Linked DNA regions of Coturnix japonica. The protein of the gene in region 1 interacts with the protein of each later gene in a pairwise test. Links are inferred from orthologs where the notes say so. Each region holds a gene or a part of one and is shown in the gene's direction. Other genes may lie near its edges.

Region 1 (4,332 bases):
GCCCCACCGCAGCCAGGTAAAAAGCGAAGCAAATGTTTAGGAGCTGATTCATCCTATGCAATACCAAGGTGACCGTAACAACATTGCAGGATGGTAAGAAGTGACAAAATAGCCATTTACTTGCCTGGGCAGCTGCTGCGATAACTGCACCACACGCAGTCTTCTCTGTGGAGAAGAACAGAGCTGAAGTTAATACAAATGAGAACTCATTGTCTTCTATAGAACTCATTACATTTTTCTATTTCAGCCAGTCGACATTAGTGTTTATTGCATTTCTTTACAGATCACAAAATCACAGAATGACGCGGGTTGGAAGGGACCTCAAGGATCATGTAGTTCCAACCCCCCTGCCTGACAGGGCCACCAAATATACACATTTACTAGATCAGGTTGCCCAGGAGACCCCATAGACCCCATAGAGACCCCATAGACCCCATAGACCCCATAGACCCCATAGAGACCCCATAGACCCCATAGAGACCCCATAGATCAGGTTGCCCAGGGCCCCATCCAAACTGGTCTTGAACACCTCCAAGGACGGGGCATCCACAACCTCCCTGGGCAGCCTGTTCCAGGGCCTAACCACCAATTGATTCGTCCTGTCTTTTTAAGGCAATCAAACAAATTAATGACGTTTTGACTCCGCTTGATTCACTACGTGAAATCATCAGTTTCGACTGAATTCGTAAATTTAAGGTCGAAGGAAAAACACTCCGTTTTGTCATCAAAATCCTCCAAAGTGGGAGAGCGGTGCCACCTGCAGACTGCTCCAACACAGCCACCAGCACAACGGGAGCTCCGTCCCACACCGCAGCCCGTGAGTCATTAAGCTGCTATAGAGGCAGCCACAGAGCCAGCAAAGCTAGAGGGCATTTGATAATTAGCCCGATGTGGTTAGAAATAAACGCAAACTGCCTTCATTTGTCAAGAAACGTCCGTGTGTGCTTCAAGTTAGACTCCATTTCTCATATACAATCCAGAAGTCCTTGAAAGTATTCACAGAATCACAGAATGAGCCGGGTTGGAAGGGACCTCAGGGATCATGTAGTTCCAACCCCCCTGCCTGGCAGGGCCACCAAACATACACCTTTACTAGATCAGGTTGCCCAGGAGACCCCATAGATCCCATAGAGACCCCATAGACCCCATAGATCCCATAGAGACTCCATAGACCCCATAGATCCCCATAGAGACCCCATAGATCAGGTTGTGCCCATGGCCCCGTCCAACCTGGCCTTGAACACCTCCAAGGACGGGGCATCCACAACCTCCCTGTGCAGCCTGTTCCAGTTCCTAACCACTCTCCTAGTGAAGAACTTCCCCCTAACATCCAACCTAAATCTTCCCTCTTTTAACTTAAAACCATCTCCCCGTGTCCTGCTATTGTCAGCCCTTTCGACAACCCAGTTACAGGGGGATGAGAAGTGAACATCACACACACCCCTCTCTCCTCCCGTCCCGCCTCAACATGGCTCCTCCCAGCCGTGACGAAGGGCCGTGGCCGAGGCGCCGAGGTGCGGGGCCCGCCCAAACCCCGCGAGGTCCCCGGGCTGCCCCGGCCGGTGCCTGATTCTCCCCGCCGCATTCGGCTTTGGGGCCCGGTGTGAGGGGCCGGAGCGGGGCCGGGCGGCCGCCGTGGAGATGCCGCTGTTCGCGTCCAACCCCTTCGAGCAGGACGTGGGTGAGTGAGCGGGGAGCGGTGCGGAGCTCGGCGGGACGCGGCTGGGCTCGGTGCAGCGTTGGGCCTGTGAGGGGTGAGCGGCGGCGATGCCCGGCCGTATCTCGGGTCGGCGGGTCGGGCTGGGATTGTGGAGGCCAAGATCGGCCTTGGTGGTGCCGGCGGCGGGATAGCGCCCACCGGGTGTAAGAATGGACACAGCCCCACTTCGGCCCGAGCCGCCGCTCCGTTCCATTGCAAAACCGGGGGCTGGTGCGGCCGTGACTCAGCCGGGCTGGTCCGGGTCGGGTCGTGATCCAGCGCTGCCCTCGGGGACATCCAGCTTGTGCCGTGTCTTGTTGTTGGCTTTTTGTTCTTTAAAGGCCCGCTGCTGAGCTGCAACACAGCAAAAGCAATTAAAATTTCCCCCGTCCTTGGAGGTGTTCAAGACCAGGTTGGACGGGGCCCTGGGCAACATGATCTAGTAAAGGTGGCCCTGCCAGGCAGGGGGGTTGGAACTACATGATCCTTGAGGTCCCTTCAAACCCGGGTCATTCTGTGATTTCCCAGGGCTTTAGGTACGAGAAGAGTTTTGTCATTGCCGAATCGTGGAACCAGAGGAGTTGGAAGGGATCTTGGAGCTCCTCCAGCCCAGTCCCCTGAGAGCTGGTTCCCCAGAGCTCATTGCAGGTTCCCTAGAGCAGGATTCTGGCCACTGGCAGGAAGAAGTGGTGGCTGTCAGTGCTCACGTTAACACCCCAGTTCCTTGTGGTGAGTGTAAGTCCTGCTCCTCTGCTCTGTGCTGGTGAGGTTTCACCTGGAGTGCTGCGTCCAGATGTGGAGCTCTCGGTACAGGAGGGACATGGAGCTGCTGGAGAGTGTCCAGAGGAGGGCTACAAAAACAGTCCACAGGATGGAATGGAACACTTCTCCTATGAGGACAGGATCAGAGAGCTGGGGCTGTGCAGCCTGGAGAAGACAAGGCTCCGAGGTGACCTGATAATAGTGGCCTCTCAGTGTCTACAGGGGAGCTACAGGAAGGAAGGGGATGGACTCTTTAGCAGGGTCTGTGGTGACAGAACAAGGGGAAATGGCACTGAGCTTGAAAAGGGTAGATTTAGGTTAGATAAAAGCCTTTTACAGTGAGGTTAGTGAGGTACTGGAACAGTGGTGTGGTTGATGCCCCATCCCTGGAGACTGTCAAGGTAAGGCTCAATCAGACCCTGGGCAATCTGACTTAGCTTGGTGCCCCTGTTGGTTGCGAGGGAGCTGGACTAGATGGCCCTCAGAGGTCCCTTCCAACTCTGAGGTTTCACTGTTATCTTCGTGTGCCTTCAAAGTTTGTTTATTGAAGGCTTTGCCTTCAGTTCTCTTTGATGTTGACCTGTGGCTAAAATGAAGTAGCAGCCGCTTAGGCCAGCTGTACTTGTTTCAAAGAACTTGTGTGTGTTCTGTACCTTTCTCATAGCTCTGATGTATTTGCACAAGTGAAGACTTCTTGAACTGGGGACTCACGGCTGTACAAAATCCTTTGTCAAAACTGAAAAGCTGCAACAGCTCTAAAAGCATAGGGCTGCAAAGTGATGGTCAGTGTGCCTCTAGTTTCTTAAACTCTGTATTATACATAGCGAGTAGAACTGCTCACACATGCTGCTATGAAACAAGAGCAGTGGGCTGGGAATTTCATAGTTATTGAGGCTAAATCTCGCAGTGCCTTGCTAGGAAGAATCTACTTTTGTGCCACTAGGAGCTTTTTTTTCTTTCAGCTATTATTACTTAGTAAATCAGACAACACGGAGCAGCAAATAACTGAACACTGTTGTTCTGTACTTTCCCTGGTGGTACTCACCTCAGGCTGCTCATGCTGCTGTCGAGCTTTAACTTTGTGATTCGAGGTTTTATTTTCTCATTCATCTTTTTGATTTATAAATAATAAAGGTGCGTACCACGAGGGCAGTCGAGCTCTGCTGATGTCCTGATGCTACTGGGAAGGAGAGCTCTTCCATCTTCTTGTCCACTCAGGTGCTGTGGGTTGCTCTCTGGGCTGATTCAGTGCATTCTCTTCAGCAGAAAACAGATTGCAGTGGAGTGCTTGGCTGACAGTTGGGATCATCTGTGAAGGCGATGGAGTTTGGAGGCTCGGATCAGCTCATCAGAGGCTGCAAAGTGGCAGTGAGGGGCAGGGCTCCCTGGGAAGGTTGAAGCCCTACTTCTGCTGGCAGCAAGAAATTGGGTTGGTTTGGATATCTGTTCAGGCCATGCCTTCGGTATTGCAGCTTTCTTGGGAGGGGGCCTTTAGAAATTATAGATAAACACAGCTGCAGCTGTTGTTTTCTTAGTTCTGAACTTGTGTTTGCTTTGCAGTAGATCTGCATAGGGTCTTACTTCCTCAGCATTTGCTTTGGTTGCATTGTCTATAGTTGCAGTTCCATGAGATGAACCTATGGGATAGTTTCAGGAGTTCCATTTCTCTCACCTGTGGGTTTTTTAAAGATTCTTATTATTTCGGTAGAGAGAAGTGGTGTTTTTTTTTTTAAATTCTTATTATTTTGGTAGAGAGAGTGCCACGAGACTTGAGTTCTTTAAAGGGTTTGGAACATTTTAATTTCCTATCTAAATCTATTCATCATTAGTTCACACACACTCGCTGTTTTCCCCCATTGTCAGCCTTCTTA
Region 2 (4,094 bases), on another chromosome or scaffold:
TGCTTGGAGAACCATGATGCTGTGGGACTGATGGACATAGTCAGTGGGCATGGGGGGAACGGGTTGGGGTTGGACTTGTGGAAGGGGTCTTTTCCAGTCTGAATGATTTTATGATAAAATGAGAAATGGTGGTAGAATAAAGATATTCTTCTCATTACCTGTTATCTTGTCAGTGATGCCACCACTGCACAGCTGAACGTCCTCTAGCTGCGCCTTAACCCACCACAGGATCCTGCAGAAGCAGCTCTGACATTGCTCTCACCTTGAAGCTACTCTTAAGAGAGGCAGTGACTCCTCTCCAACCACTGCTTACCTTCTTAATTCTCCTATTAACCGAGTCAACATATTCCTGCGATAAACATTCACACCCTGTACAGTATTCATTGTGAGTTACAGCACACTATTACAAAGTGTTTCCATCACAAGCAACACTCACAACTCAGGCACTACTTCTAGCTTCTTAGGAAAACCTTTTCCAAGCCCTGTAAACGCCAACAATATCTTCTCTGTTGCTATAGATTTCATACTGAAAGTGCTTAAGTCACCCAATAACCAGCAGCAAAACAAAACTCTCAAACAATAATAAAAGGAAATCCTCAAGGAGGAACTCACGTGGATAACAAGCAGCAGCACAGCTCCCCACCTTCCAAGCACTAAAGGGCCTCTCAAAGGTCTGAACAGAGATGGAAGAGCCAAGTACCAGCAGCTGGCTTAAAGAACTCAGATGGGAGCCTGACACAGATCAGCTGAGACACCCTTGATTAAAGCCGGCCATGCTTTATTGCTTCAGGACCTAATTTCTAGTTGCTGTCACCTGTGTTGAATTTGCTTCAGATCAATATTCAGTGGCCTGAACCTGATGGGCAAGAAGGCACTATGAGGATCTGAGCTGGAGGAAACCCTTAAATGTGCCTTAAGAAACATGTTTCCTTCATGCTGCGTTGGTGTGGTTATGTTAGAAGGGTGCCGACTTCGCACTGTGCATACAACTGTATTTCACTTTAAAAGTTTATCTTCTCAATTGAGAGGCTGCACACACCGTTACATCAATCACGTATTGCTGTAGCTCTCATCACCTCCAAGGCCGCCTCCGCACACAAAGAGCAGCACGGCCCGGCCCTCTGCCCTTAGCGGCTGCCGGGGCCCAGCGCGGGGCAGGAACTTCGGCCTCCGGCACAGCTCCGCCCCGAGCTCAGACGCCGGGTCCGTCCCGCACACCGACAGCTGCGGGGCGGAGCGAAGCGCCGCTCGCTGTGGGGCCGGAGGCGGCCGGCCTGGCCTCATTGCGCCGGGGCGGGCACAGCTCCCCGGCCGCCGAGCGCGGTGCCGCCGGGCCCTACGTGCGCGATCCCGGCGGGGCGGAGTGAGAGGAGGAGCCGGGGCGGCCTGTGCGACAAAGCCCAGTGCGCAGAAAGCTGGTGACCAGGAAGCGGAACGGCACCGGGCTGCCGCGGGGCGGGGGGCGGGCGGACCCCACCTGAGCCCCGCTGCCCCAGCGCTCCCGGGCGGGAGCCGAGCCCTGCGGCCCCACGGCTCGGGGCCAAGTGCGGCCGGCGCTGCGGGGCGGCCGTGCTGCCGCTAAGCCGCTTAGGGCCGGGCTGGCATGAGCCTCCCCGGCGGGGCGGCTGCGGGCTGCGCGCTGCGGGGCGGCTGAGGGTGCGGAGCCGTCCGTCGTAAGGAGGGGGAGAAAGCGGAGGGGACGCCCCTGCTCCCCGGGGGGAAGGAAAATGGGGAACTGCCTCAAGTCCCCCACATCAGATGACATCTCGCTGCTCCACGAGTCCCAGTCGGACCGGGCCAGCTACGGGGACGGGGCTGAGCCGGATCAGGAGCCGCCGCCGCCATATCAGGTACGGGAGGGGGCGGGGAGCGGCGCGGCGGAGCCGGTGGGGACGGGGACGGACGGAGAGGGGCACGGGACGGGGGGGCGGGTTGAAGCCCCGAGGACCCCCCGGGGCGCTGCACAGCGTCCGTCCCCGCGGGCACCGAACGGCGGGTCCCGGCCGTGAAGTGAGGAGCGCCGCTTTGTTCCCCGGGGGGTCGCCGAGCTGTCGCGGGGCCGCACGGACCGTTCGGGACACGAAGCCGGAGACGGCGGAGGGGGGTCGGGGCCCGCCCAGGGGTCGGAGCCGCCTCGATCGTGTCTGGATTTGGGCTGAAAGCAGGAGGGGAAGGCGTCGAGTTTCCAGCCGTGCCGCTTCCTTTGTTGTCGTCGCGCGGTGACATCACTGTCTGTGCCGCTCTCGGTGCTCCCCGCACCGGAGGCCGCGCGCTCGGCGCTGCCCGGCTTTGTCTGCGGCGCTTCGGCAGCAGCTGAACCGGAGTAACTTCGTGCTGCGGGGTGAGCCCGTTTCTTTCAGCTCCGTGCGGTTCCAGGAAGGGCCGTTCGCTCTCCTGCCTGGAGAGGATGTGTACATTGACGGCTGATGACGAGCTGGGGAAGAACGCCGGGTGCTCCGTCACGTCCTCACAGCTGTGGGGTCCCGGCACAGCTCTGTGCTGTGATGGCCACCAAAAGGACCCAGGGCTGCATTTATCCCCTGCTTCATCTCCATCTCCTAAGGAAGGATTGTACGTGGCTCTGAGCAGGACACGAGCCCTGTCTGAAGGGATCTGTAACAGTGACAGGTACAGATGAGTCCTGCGCTCCTTAGGGTGGGGAGTCACGCAGGAGTTGCAGACCTTAACGTATTATTAACAAGGCTGCAGGAAGTATTTAGCAGGGCAGATATTAACCTGTGATACTCGACGAACACCGGCTGTGACAGGAGGTCCCTGGGTTGCTCCATGGGCACAGCAACCCTTGGTGGAACCATGCTGGGACCACTGGGCCCTGCAGAGCTGCTCGCTTTATGTGACTGCTTCATGACAGAACAAATTCCCTAAGATGGGTTGGGTTTTTTTCCCTGACTTTTTAGTAAAGTCTGCACAAGTCCATTAAATAAAGATGTGTGGTGTCAGGTTTTTTTGACAGGCGATGTTCTGAGCCAATCCTGCTTGTCCCTCCTGTTTGGGAACGCAATGAAAATTGTCCCTTGGAAAAAAACCTGTCGGCTCTTGCAGGAGTTGAGAAATTGCACTGTGCAGGCCTTCTCCTGTCGACTTCAGAGCACAGCAGACAGTAAAATAAGCAAACTCGCAGACATTTGTTACTGTGTGCATTCATAGCAAAACTCCCCCAAACCCCACGCGCTGATCCCAGCAGATCTCAAACACTCACTGTAAGGGGCATCTTGTGTTGCATAGTCAACATTCAAAGATACTCGCTCCACAAATAAAGAAACACAGTGCTTTGTGATGACAAAAGACCTTCACCTTCATACTTTGCAGTATTCCACACGCTTTGAGGTTGAGGGGGGTTGTAACTTCAAATTGTTTTGGGGTGAAAAGGTGTGCAAGCCGAGCGCTGAACCTGGGGAACTCCTGGAGCTCCATTATTGCTGTAGTGGCAGCAGGATGTTGTGATCTTATCCTCTTCCTTGCCTGCCTTCCTCCGCAGGTCTGCATGTTCTCTTACACACTTTAATTCTCATTCAAACATTGTAGAAAGTATCACCTATAAGGACAAGAATCCCACATGCCCATTTCTAACACTGAATCTGAGCTATGATCTGGAATTTAAAATAAGGCCAAGAGTTTAAAAACTTGTTTGTGGCACCTACTGCTGCGCACGAGGAGCTGTGGACGATTAACAACTTAAAACTGAGCTGCTGGAGCCTCAGCCATAAAATGGCTGCATTTGGGTTTGCTTCCTTTGGGTTTGCAGCAACGATGTGCAAACTTCCTGAGCCGCTCTCTCAAGGTGTGCTAACAAGCAGAGCGAAGGAAGCTTGCTGGGGTAGGTGCAGCGTTGTAGACAGGACTTGTGTGTCTCTTTGAGCTAAAGTCTGTGCTATCTTGATACTCAAAACATTTTCTGTGTCTTGGCACGCTTGTTTTGTGGGTGTCCATATGGGAATCGAGTTAAGCAATAATTTTTTAAGGTGTTCACTTCTAACTGCAAAATAGGCACCTAATAATCTCTTCACTGTTGCATGCCAAACTCCTTTTCATCACTGAGTGCTACTGAATCTGCTGTATAAAATTCCTGCTTC
Region 3 (3,561 bases), on another chromosome or scaffold:
CATCCCTCCGTGCACATTATTTGGCCATCTCTTTTTTTGTGATTTATTTCTGAATGCTGGTGCAAAGCAGTATTTTTTTTTCCCATTTAAAGAAAAAAAAAAACAACAAAAAACTGAATTACTAAATGTATTTTACATACCAGAGTTAGTTCTGAGTGTGAGGTAGCCTAGTGTTATTAAAGCTACCTCTATTTCATCTTAAGTTTTAAACAAGAATCATTGTGGAAAAGCAGATTGGTTTACACCACCGATCTTTCTGGCAGGTCTTGGAATGGCAGCGGTGACAGCTGTGACAATGTTGAGAAGTGGGATTATGAATTAAAGCAGATTTCTGCTTCCAATTGAACCTGGGAGATTATGCACACCTTGAGTTTAGTAACTGTAGTTCCTGGGACGCTGTGTAAAGCACTATGATGAGATTGCAGATTCCTTTTATTTTGCAATTGATGCCTATGTGATATATTTTGCTATATGAAATGAGTGCTAGTGGAATAGCATTTTGGGTTTTTTGCCTCCTAGATGATGACAACTCTGAGGAAGGCCTTCACACGATCCCTTCAGGAAGGCACGAATATGCATTCAGCTTTGAGCTTCCACAGACGTAAGTTCCTAGTTATACCATGCTGCTGGGGCAGTGCGATGCCTGCAGACACGCCTGCTTCGGGTGGAGGGGAAACCTTTTCAATGGTGGCAGGAATTGTGCTGCAGCATGCTGCAGAGGACATCATCTCCTTCATCTGAAGAGGTTGCTTTCAAACCCCACAAAATGGGAGCACATTGTTGCCTGGTGGCTCACTCACTCTTGACCTAGCTGGTACTGACTGGCTATGTCTTCTGATATTTTAACCCCTTCCAAGAGGAGTGAAGTTTAACTGGCTTGAGTCCTGTGGAGTGGCTGAGATGCCTTCTAATGTAACCAGTAGAGCCTTGTGGACCAGCAAAACTGGCCATAAGACGCCATCTTGCTTATTTAGGCTTAGTCTGGAACAGAAGTGACTATTTTAACTAACAATGAAAGAGGAGATTGTTCCAGATTAAATGGGATGTGTCTTCTCAAGCTGGCCTCTGTATGAAAAGGCTGGATGGCAATAAGCAGATAAATGAGTGGATGAACTGAGAAACATTCCCATCCTTCATCACATTTGTTTCAGAAAGCAGAAGTGAGAGGCAGAGCTAAACTACAAGCTCCAATAATACAAAATGCGTAGGGATAGCAACAGTCTGAAAACAGATGAGAAATGGGAGAGGAAGGAGACTTCCTTATGGAATTCAGGCAGTGAAGCTGTTACAGTTGGATAAATTTGGCAGACACTGTTGCGTGAAATAGTTAAGTGCCTAATACTAAAGCTGGCAAACCATCTGTTTATTAGAGGTGCTGGCTATAATAGAACCTGCAGGTCATAACCACCTCATGGGTCAGTATAAGAAGTGAGCAGTGTAGAACTTGAACGTACATAGTTGCTGGAGTGCTGAAAAAGACCCATGTATGGAGATCATCAGAGACAATTTGCCATTATGTGAAAATCTCTACTACAAAAAGTAAAAATAGTAGTCTTCATCTTCCCTTGATTTGGAAGGGTTGAAAAAGCAAGATAGTAGATCACTGTGAAATATTTAGTATTAAATTGAAGTACCACAACCAGTGGTTAGAACACAGTGTTTATAAGTAACTTGAAAAAATAGTTGTGCAATCAGCTTCTGATAACGCTGAAGAAAAACAAGGACGACTGGTGTTAAAGCCTAAAGACCTGGAGGCACCTATTTACCATTTCTTGTGATTTCCTATCAGTGGGATTTTTCCAAAGTTAATTAAAAAAAAAATCCAGAGCAACAGTAAAAAGGAGAACACTGAGGGGCTTGTTTTGTTTTGTTTCTTTTTTGCCCTTCAGGGTACAAGACAGGATCTACGACTGAATATAGACTAGATATGTTTCAGAAATGTAAACAGATGTCGTACCTATTACTGACAAAGAATCATTTAAGTAAAGTACTAGAATGGCTAGGAGTGTTCCCAGTAGGAATTACAGAAGGTTTGCACATCATTTTGAGTAAACAGATTAAATTACAAAAATTCTTAGATTTTTTTTTTTTAAAAAAAGGAAATTTACTGTTACTTAGAGATAAAGGGAGTTCTGTGACTTAAAAGCAAAGGTGAAAAGTTTCGAGATTCTTCCACAGTTTTCCTCCAGGTCTCTTGAAAGGATTTCATTAGTCTCTGAAACATTCAGAGTGGAATAGTCCTGATAACTCTGCATGCGTGTTCATATGATACGTAAACACATGCATGTATTTTGCATAAACTTTATAAACTGCTCTCACTGGAGTAGATGAGAACTGGAAGGTACTTCCGATAACCCTTCTCTATTCAGAACTGTCATTTGAATTATTTACTTAAAATTACACGAACTACTGTGTTCAGTAACTGCTAAAAGAAGACACTTAGCAGCCAAGCAAACAATAAACAATTACTTCAAAAATACAGTATTCAAACCAGTTGGTACTGTTGCTAATTTTAAGTTGGTAGTCTTAATGCAGCCGTAAAAGGGCATGGTGGATGTGAAAGCAGCCTCTTGAGTTTAAAGGAAATGTGAACTCTCCTGGCATTTTCTAGTACAATTCTTACATTGATTCTTAAAATCTATACAAAACTAAATTAGGGTGAATTGGAGATGATTTTTTCTCCCATCTTTAATCTTGAATTTTGCTCAGATATGGAAACTTTGCAAATAAGTTACGCTTAGTTAAATACTACAGTGCATTAAAAATAGAATTCTACATACTAATCCCTAATCTGATTATATCATTATTATAAAGAGTGAGAAAGAGATTTTACTCAGTTTTGACCTTTGTGTCCTGCACAGACCACTTGCTACCTCATTCGAAGGCAGACATGGCAGTGTGCGCTATTGGGTGAAAGCCGAATTGCATAGGCCTTGGCTTCTACCAGTAAAATTAAAGAAGGAATTTACAGTCTTTGAACATATAGATATCAACACTCCTTCATTACTGGTAAGAATTGACAGAATTACTCATTCTTTTTTTCTGACATAAAAATAAGTAAAATACAGGAAAGAATATCAACATTGGATTTTATCTAGTATCTATTTACTAGTTTTTAACAGCAGCTGATCTTTTAAGTATTCTATCAGTTTGGCAACTCTTCAATTACTTGTTTTGCTGTTATCCTGTACCTGGAGTTGCTTCATTTTTAAGATATGTAAGATACCTTTGTCAATTTAATACTGCTAAATTTTAATTTCTCTATAAAAAGGAAATTTTTGTGAACTGTTCCTCTTCAATTTTGAATTATCTGTGGAAGGAACAGTGCAACTTCAAAGAACGTTTTAATGAGAGACTGCTAACTTAAAAATGCAAAGTGAAATAATGTACTGGCGTGCGTAATTTCCAAATGGATGGTTTTCTACCAATGGGGAGAAATTATCACAATTCTATATATGATCTTTTTCAGAAATGTCATTTTTATTAAAATCTTAGTGTTGCAACCGCTTTCAGTAAGGAGCTGATTTCAATCTGGCTTAAGATTTCTTTTTTTCCCCCTTA
Region 4 (4,314 bases), on another chromosome or scaffold:
AAAGGCTTCTGGGAGAGATGCATCTATTGGCGTTTGCTGCTATTAAAAGCAGCAGTCAAGCACGAGCGCTTCCTACGCATTTCAGTGCAGTTATTACATACCACAATGGCTCCCGAGAAACAGCCACTAATAGTTTGTGACAACGTGCTCTGACTCCTGGGAGAGAAGGTAAAACAGTGTAGGGCCTCATGCAACACCTTCAGAAGACAGGATGATCTCCACTGAGCAAGCTGGGCCTTGCATGGCGTGCTCTCACAACCTCTCCCTCTTCCTTCAAGATATCTTCCTGCAGACTGAGAGCTTTAGTGTAAATCTTCTCCCTTAGCACTGTCTTTAGGTGCTAATATAACGGTGCAGTCAGTGCCATGTGAAGGTGGGAGTCAGAGCTCAGGTACTTCAGAGGAGACTTCTCATTGATGCTGCCAGGCCCAAACAGTCATTAGTGGCACAAAGTGTGGTAGAACAAACTGGCACAAGTTGTTTTCTCTGCAGGAGCTTGTCTGCATGTCACAAAGGCCTCGTCCCACCCCTGACAATCATCTGCTTTTCAAAACTGCCGACAAATAAAAATGAAATCCCAAGCCCCGTTGCTGCCAAACAGGCTGTGTCACTGACAGTGGAACGGCCTTCTGGTGCTGTGGCCTGCAGGGCTGGCTGACTGCACACAGGCTTTCCCCTTTCTGTTTGTTTTTGATCAGATCGAAACAACAGAAGCTGACAATGACATCCCAGGGGTTCACCCAGAAAATTCCTCAGCTTCTGGCTGGACTTTTGTTTGTCTGCTGCTCCCAGAGTGCTCAGCAGCCTGCTGCCTGCAGGGCTGCAATGGCCTCACACCATGAAGCTGCTGACAGCATCTCATTTGGACGCATTTACAACTCTCCCTACTGTTTCCTCTGGATCAAGTGCCTAAAGAGCTCATTGTACTGAGCCACAACCACAGGTCTGAGGGTGAGAGGACATATGGCTTCATTTGTAGGTCACACAGGTGAGCAGGCCTCTCATTCTCCCCAGCAGTGTGCCAGAGAGGCACTGTCCTGCTTAAGAACAAGTCTTATTTTCAAAAGCAAGTTAGACTTTTCTCAGCTCTGAAGCCTCAGCCCCATAGGTTTTCCTAAGATAAGAGGTATGTAAGTTGTTGAACTGCTCCAAAATTGCTAATTCTTATGTCAGCACAGCAGATTGTTGCTCACATCACCATTAGCAAAACACAGTACACCATGGAAATGAGAGCTGTGAAGACAAGAGGCACAAGCCGTGCCTGCATTTGTTCACCTTTAACGAGGATGCGTGAACACTGCAGAGATTCAAGCCGGTATGTTGTGGGCACTCAAAACTGAACGTGTGTTGGAGAGATGAACAAGGCTGTGTTATGACAAAGAATGAGCTCGATGGGGCATAGCAACGGGCACGGGAACGGACCTGGGCATGGCAACGGACCTGGGCATGGCAACGGACCCGGGCCCTGCCAGCTCACCCACCCCCCGGCCAGGCCGCGTCCGTGCAGCCGTGTGTCGCGGCCCAGCCGGGGCGGCGCGGCGGGCTGACGTCAGGGCGGGGCTGGCACTGCCCGCCGGCGGAGCGGGGCCGCAGCGGGAGCGGATCGGCATAGGCGGCAGGTAGGGACGGCCGAGGGGCGCTGAGTGCGGGGTCCCGGCCCGGCCGTGCGGAGCTGCGGGGCCTGAGGCTGCCGGGTGCGCGGCGGGAGGCGGGACTATCCGGCGAGGGGCGCGGGGCTGCGGTGTGCGGCCCAACCCGTAGCGCCGGCCGGCCCCGAGATGGTGCTGAACGGAGCCGCGCGGCTCTCGGTAGGAACGGGCGTTGGGTGCGGAGTCGGGAAGTTCCTGACTTGTTTGGTTTTAAACGGGAGCATCAGTCGGGTGAGGCGGTGTGTCTGCAGCTGGTGCTGCGGGATGGCGGTGGCAGCCGATCCGCCTCCGCTGCAGTGTGACGGCTGCACCCGCAGCAATGGCGAGCTGCACTTCGCTGGATCCGGAGCTGGCTTTTCCCGTCAGCCAGCAAAAGGGCGACTGGAATAAGTGGTGGGATATTCCATGCTGTGTTCTGTGTGAGGGAGGAAAAGGAGCAGCAGGGAGCGGCCCCCACACCTTTGCTGTGTTTGCTCTTGTGCTCCATGAAGGGCGTTTCTGCCTTTAGGCTTCAGCCACCAGCAAACTTCTGAGGTGGGTGATACAAAGCCCTGACTTATCTGTGTTTAATTCCCGCTTCCCGTGCTGGTCACACGGAGCTTCACAAGCAGATACTGTGCAGCTGATGCTTATCTCCCACAGCTCTCTTCTAGCTCTGGAAACACTCTTCTTGACACAGAGTGGGCTGATTGTAACACTGTGGTGGACTCCACGTACATGCTTGCACTTAAAAAGGATCAGACAAGGATATCAGATTGTTCTTTCACCTCCTATTTAGGTGCAGACAGACTGCTCTGTGTCACTCATTGCCATCTATTTGGAGCAGAAGTTTGGGGCACTGAGGTTCTGTGCAGGGAGAACGCAGTTCACGTATCTGAGATTGCACACAGGGTGCAGTACAGCTACAGAGGCCTCTTTGGTTCTGGAGCCCTAAGTGGGAGATGGCCTGCAATGTGAGACTTGGCTTGTTGGATGCTCTGTGATCTTCAGGTTGCCAGGAGAGAGGTTTTCTTCATAGAATCATAGAATCACAGAATGGCCTGGGTTGCAGAGGACCACAATGCTCATTTCAACCCCCTGCTGTGTGCAGGGTCACCAACCAGCAGCCCAGGCTGCCCAGAGCCACATCCAGCCTGGCCTTGAATGCCTGCAGGGATGGGGCATCCACAGCCTCCTTGGGCAACCTGTTCCAGTGCGTTGCCACCCTCTGGGTGAAAAGCTTCCTCTTCTTCTTAACCAGGCCATTTTGAGCTTCATTTAAAAGCTGAGGAGAAATGAGAGTGTCACTTTACGGGCTCAACTTTTACTTACTTAAAATTCATTTGGGAGGGAGCTGGTGACAATTTGGGTGGCATACAAGTCATAAAAACAGCTTTCTCCTTCCTGTTCAAGGTTAAACTCTTTCAGCTTTTGTTATGGCTGGACTTTGAGTCAACGAATGAAAAACAAAAAAATAGAAGGGGAAGCACAGAAAAAGGGAGGGAGAGTGTTGCAGGATAGAGGGATCACATCTGTGTCAAGGAAGCAATTTGTAAAGCAGCCAGCAGTGAGTCAGGGTCGCAGGTCTGTCTCTTCCCTATTTTGCAACAGTGTCATTTGTTAACTTGTGCTTTCCCCTTTTTAACTGATGTGTCTCTGACAGTCACATCAGATTACATGCCTGTTCCACTTGCTAGGGTCTGGGATACTAGTTGGGCCTTAGTGAGGATCTTCAGGTGAGATCTGTCTTCTCTATCTGAAATACAAGCGGAGTGCACTGTGACATTCTAACTTGACGTGCCTCTTTCTAATGTAGTGCTGTGAAATACTGATGTCTGCTTCCTCTCCTTCCTCTTCTGTCCACCAGATTAAGCAACAATGGCATTTGTGAAGAGTGGCTGGCTGCTCCGGCAAAGTAAGTCATGGGGCTCTAACCTCCTTTTCTCTCCACTGTGTCTAACTCCATCAAAAAGCTTTACAGCATCTCAGTCATTCCCAGGTGTTATTTCTTAAACAGGTCTCTGCATCTGTGGGTTGTTGTCCTTGCTTTTTGACTGTAAGGCATTTCACAAAAGGACCTATCATGACAGCATTTCTGTGTTACCTTTGGGTGTACTAGTGAGAAACAGCATATGTCACATCTGAGCTGTCTGAGTGTCCTGCTTCAGATGCTGCTCTGTAATTAGTGTTATGTAAGAGGAGACTTGGAAACTTTGCCTGACACCTTACATTAAAGTCTTCAGGTAGTCATGCCCTCTGCTTCTTCTTGCAGAGGGATAGAATTAAAGCACTGGGTTATGCCCTTAAAATACACTCCATTGCAACTTGGAGTAGTAAATGAAATAGGGAAACCAATTTTGTAATGTTCTAAAGCAGTGGTAGGACAAGATCTTGCCTGGAGCCTGAGAATGCTTTTGTCCTCTGGGGCAATTGGGAAAGATATCTTGGTTTTATTAACTTTAAGACACAAATACCTTCTAACATATGCCTTCATAAGCGACTGTTTGATTTTAAAGGCACTATTTTGCGGCGCTGGAAGAAGAACTGGTTTGACCTGTGGTCTGATGGCCGTTTAATATTCTATGACGATCAGAATCGCCATGATATAGAAGATAAAATCCACATGCGAATCCATTGCATCAACCTCAGAGTGGGGAACGAATGTCGAGGTAATAGTCACTGTTAC

The links.
Region 2: the proteins of STAM2 (region 1) and RNF11 interact in binary tests that used the Homo sapiens proteins (3 or more experiments, as listed by UniProt). The link is inferred for Coturnix japonica from reciprocal best matches to the Homo sapiens genes STAM2 and RNF11.
Region 3: the proteins of STAM2 (region 1) and ARRDC3 interact in binary tests that used the Homo sapiens proteins (3 or more experiments, as listed by UniProt). The two-hybrid records come from large-scale screens. The link is inferred for Coturnix japonica from reciprocal best matches to the Homo sapiens genes STAM2 and ARRDC3.
Region 4: the proteins of STAM2 (region 1) and PLEKHB2 interact in binary tests that used the Homo sapiens proteins (3 or more experiments, as listed by UniProt). The two-hybrid records come from large-scale screens. The link is inferred for Coturnix japonica from reciprocal best matches to the Homo sapiens genes STAM2 and PLEKHB2.

What each region holds. Positions count from the first base shown.
Region 1 is NC_029522.1:30,549,398-30,553,729, forward strand, and holds the start of STAM2 (signal transducing adapter molecule 2), read left to right. Parts: upstream 1-1,513; 5' UTR 1,514-1,641; coding exon 1,642-1,681; intron 1,682-4,332.
Region 2 is NC_029523.1:21,408,059-21,412,152, forward strand, and holds the start of RNF11 (RING finger protein 11), read left to right. Parts: upstream 1-1,261; 5' UTR 1,262-1,727; coding exon 1,728-1,850; intron 1,851-4,094. UniProt on the Homo sapiens protein: Essential component of a ubiquitin-editing protein complex, comprising also TNFAIP3, ITCH and TAX1BP1, that ensures the transient nature of inflammatory signaling pathways. Promotes the association of TNFAIP3 to RIPK1 after TNF stimulation.
Region 3 is NC_029547.1:52,953,692-52,957,252, forward strand, and holds part of ARRDC3 (arrestin domain-containing protein 3), read left to right. Parts: intron 1-519; coding exon 520-601; intron 602-2,861; coding exon 2,862-3,009; intron 3,010-3,561. UniProt on the Homo sapiens protein: Adapter protein that plays a role in regulating cell-surface expression of adrenergic receptors and probably also other G protein-coupled receptors.
Region 4 is NC_029524.1:997,005-1,001,318, forward strand, and holds the start of PLEKHB2 (pleckstrin homology domain-containing family B member 2), read left to right. Parts: upstream 1-1,497; 5' UTR 1,498-1,619; intron 1,620-1,731; exon of another isoform or gene 1,732-1,808; intron 1,809-3,495; 5' UTR 3,496-3,506; coding exon 3,507-3,543; intron 3,544-4,144; coding exon 4,145-4,297; intron 4,298-4,314. UniProt on the Homo sapiens protein: Involved in retrograde transport of recycling endosomes.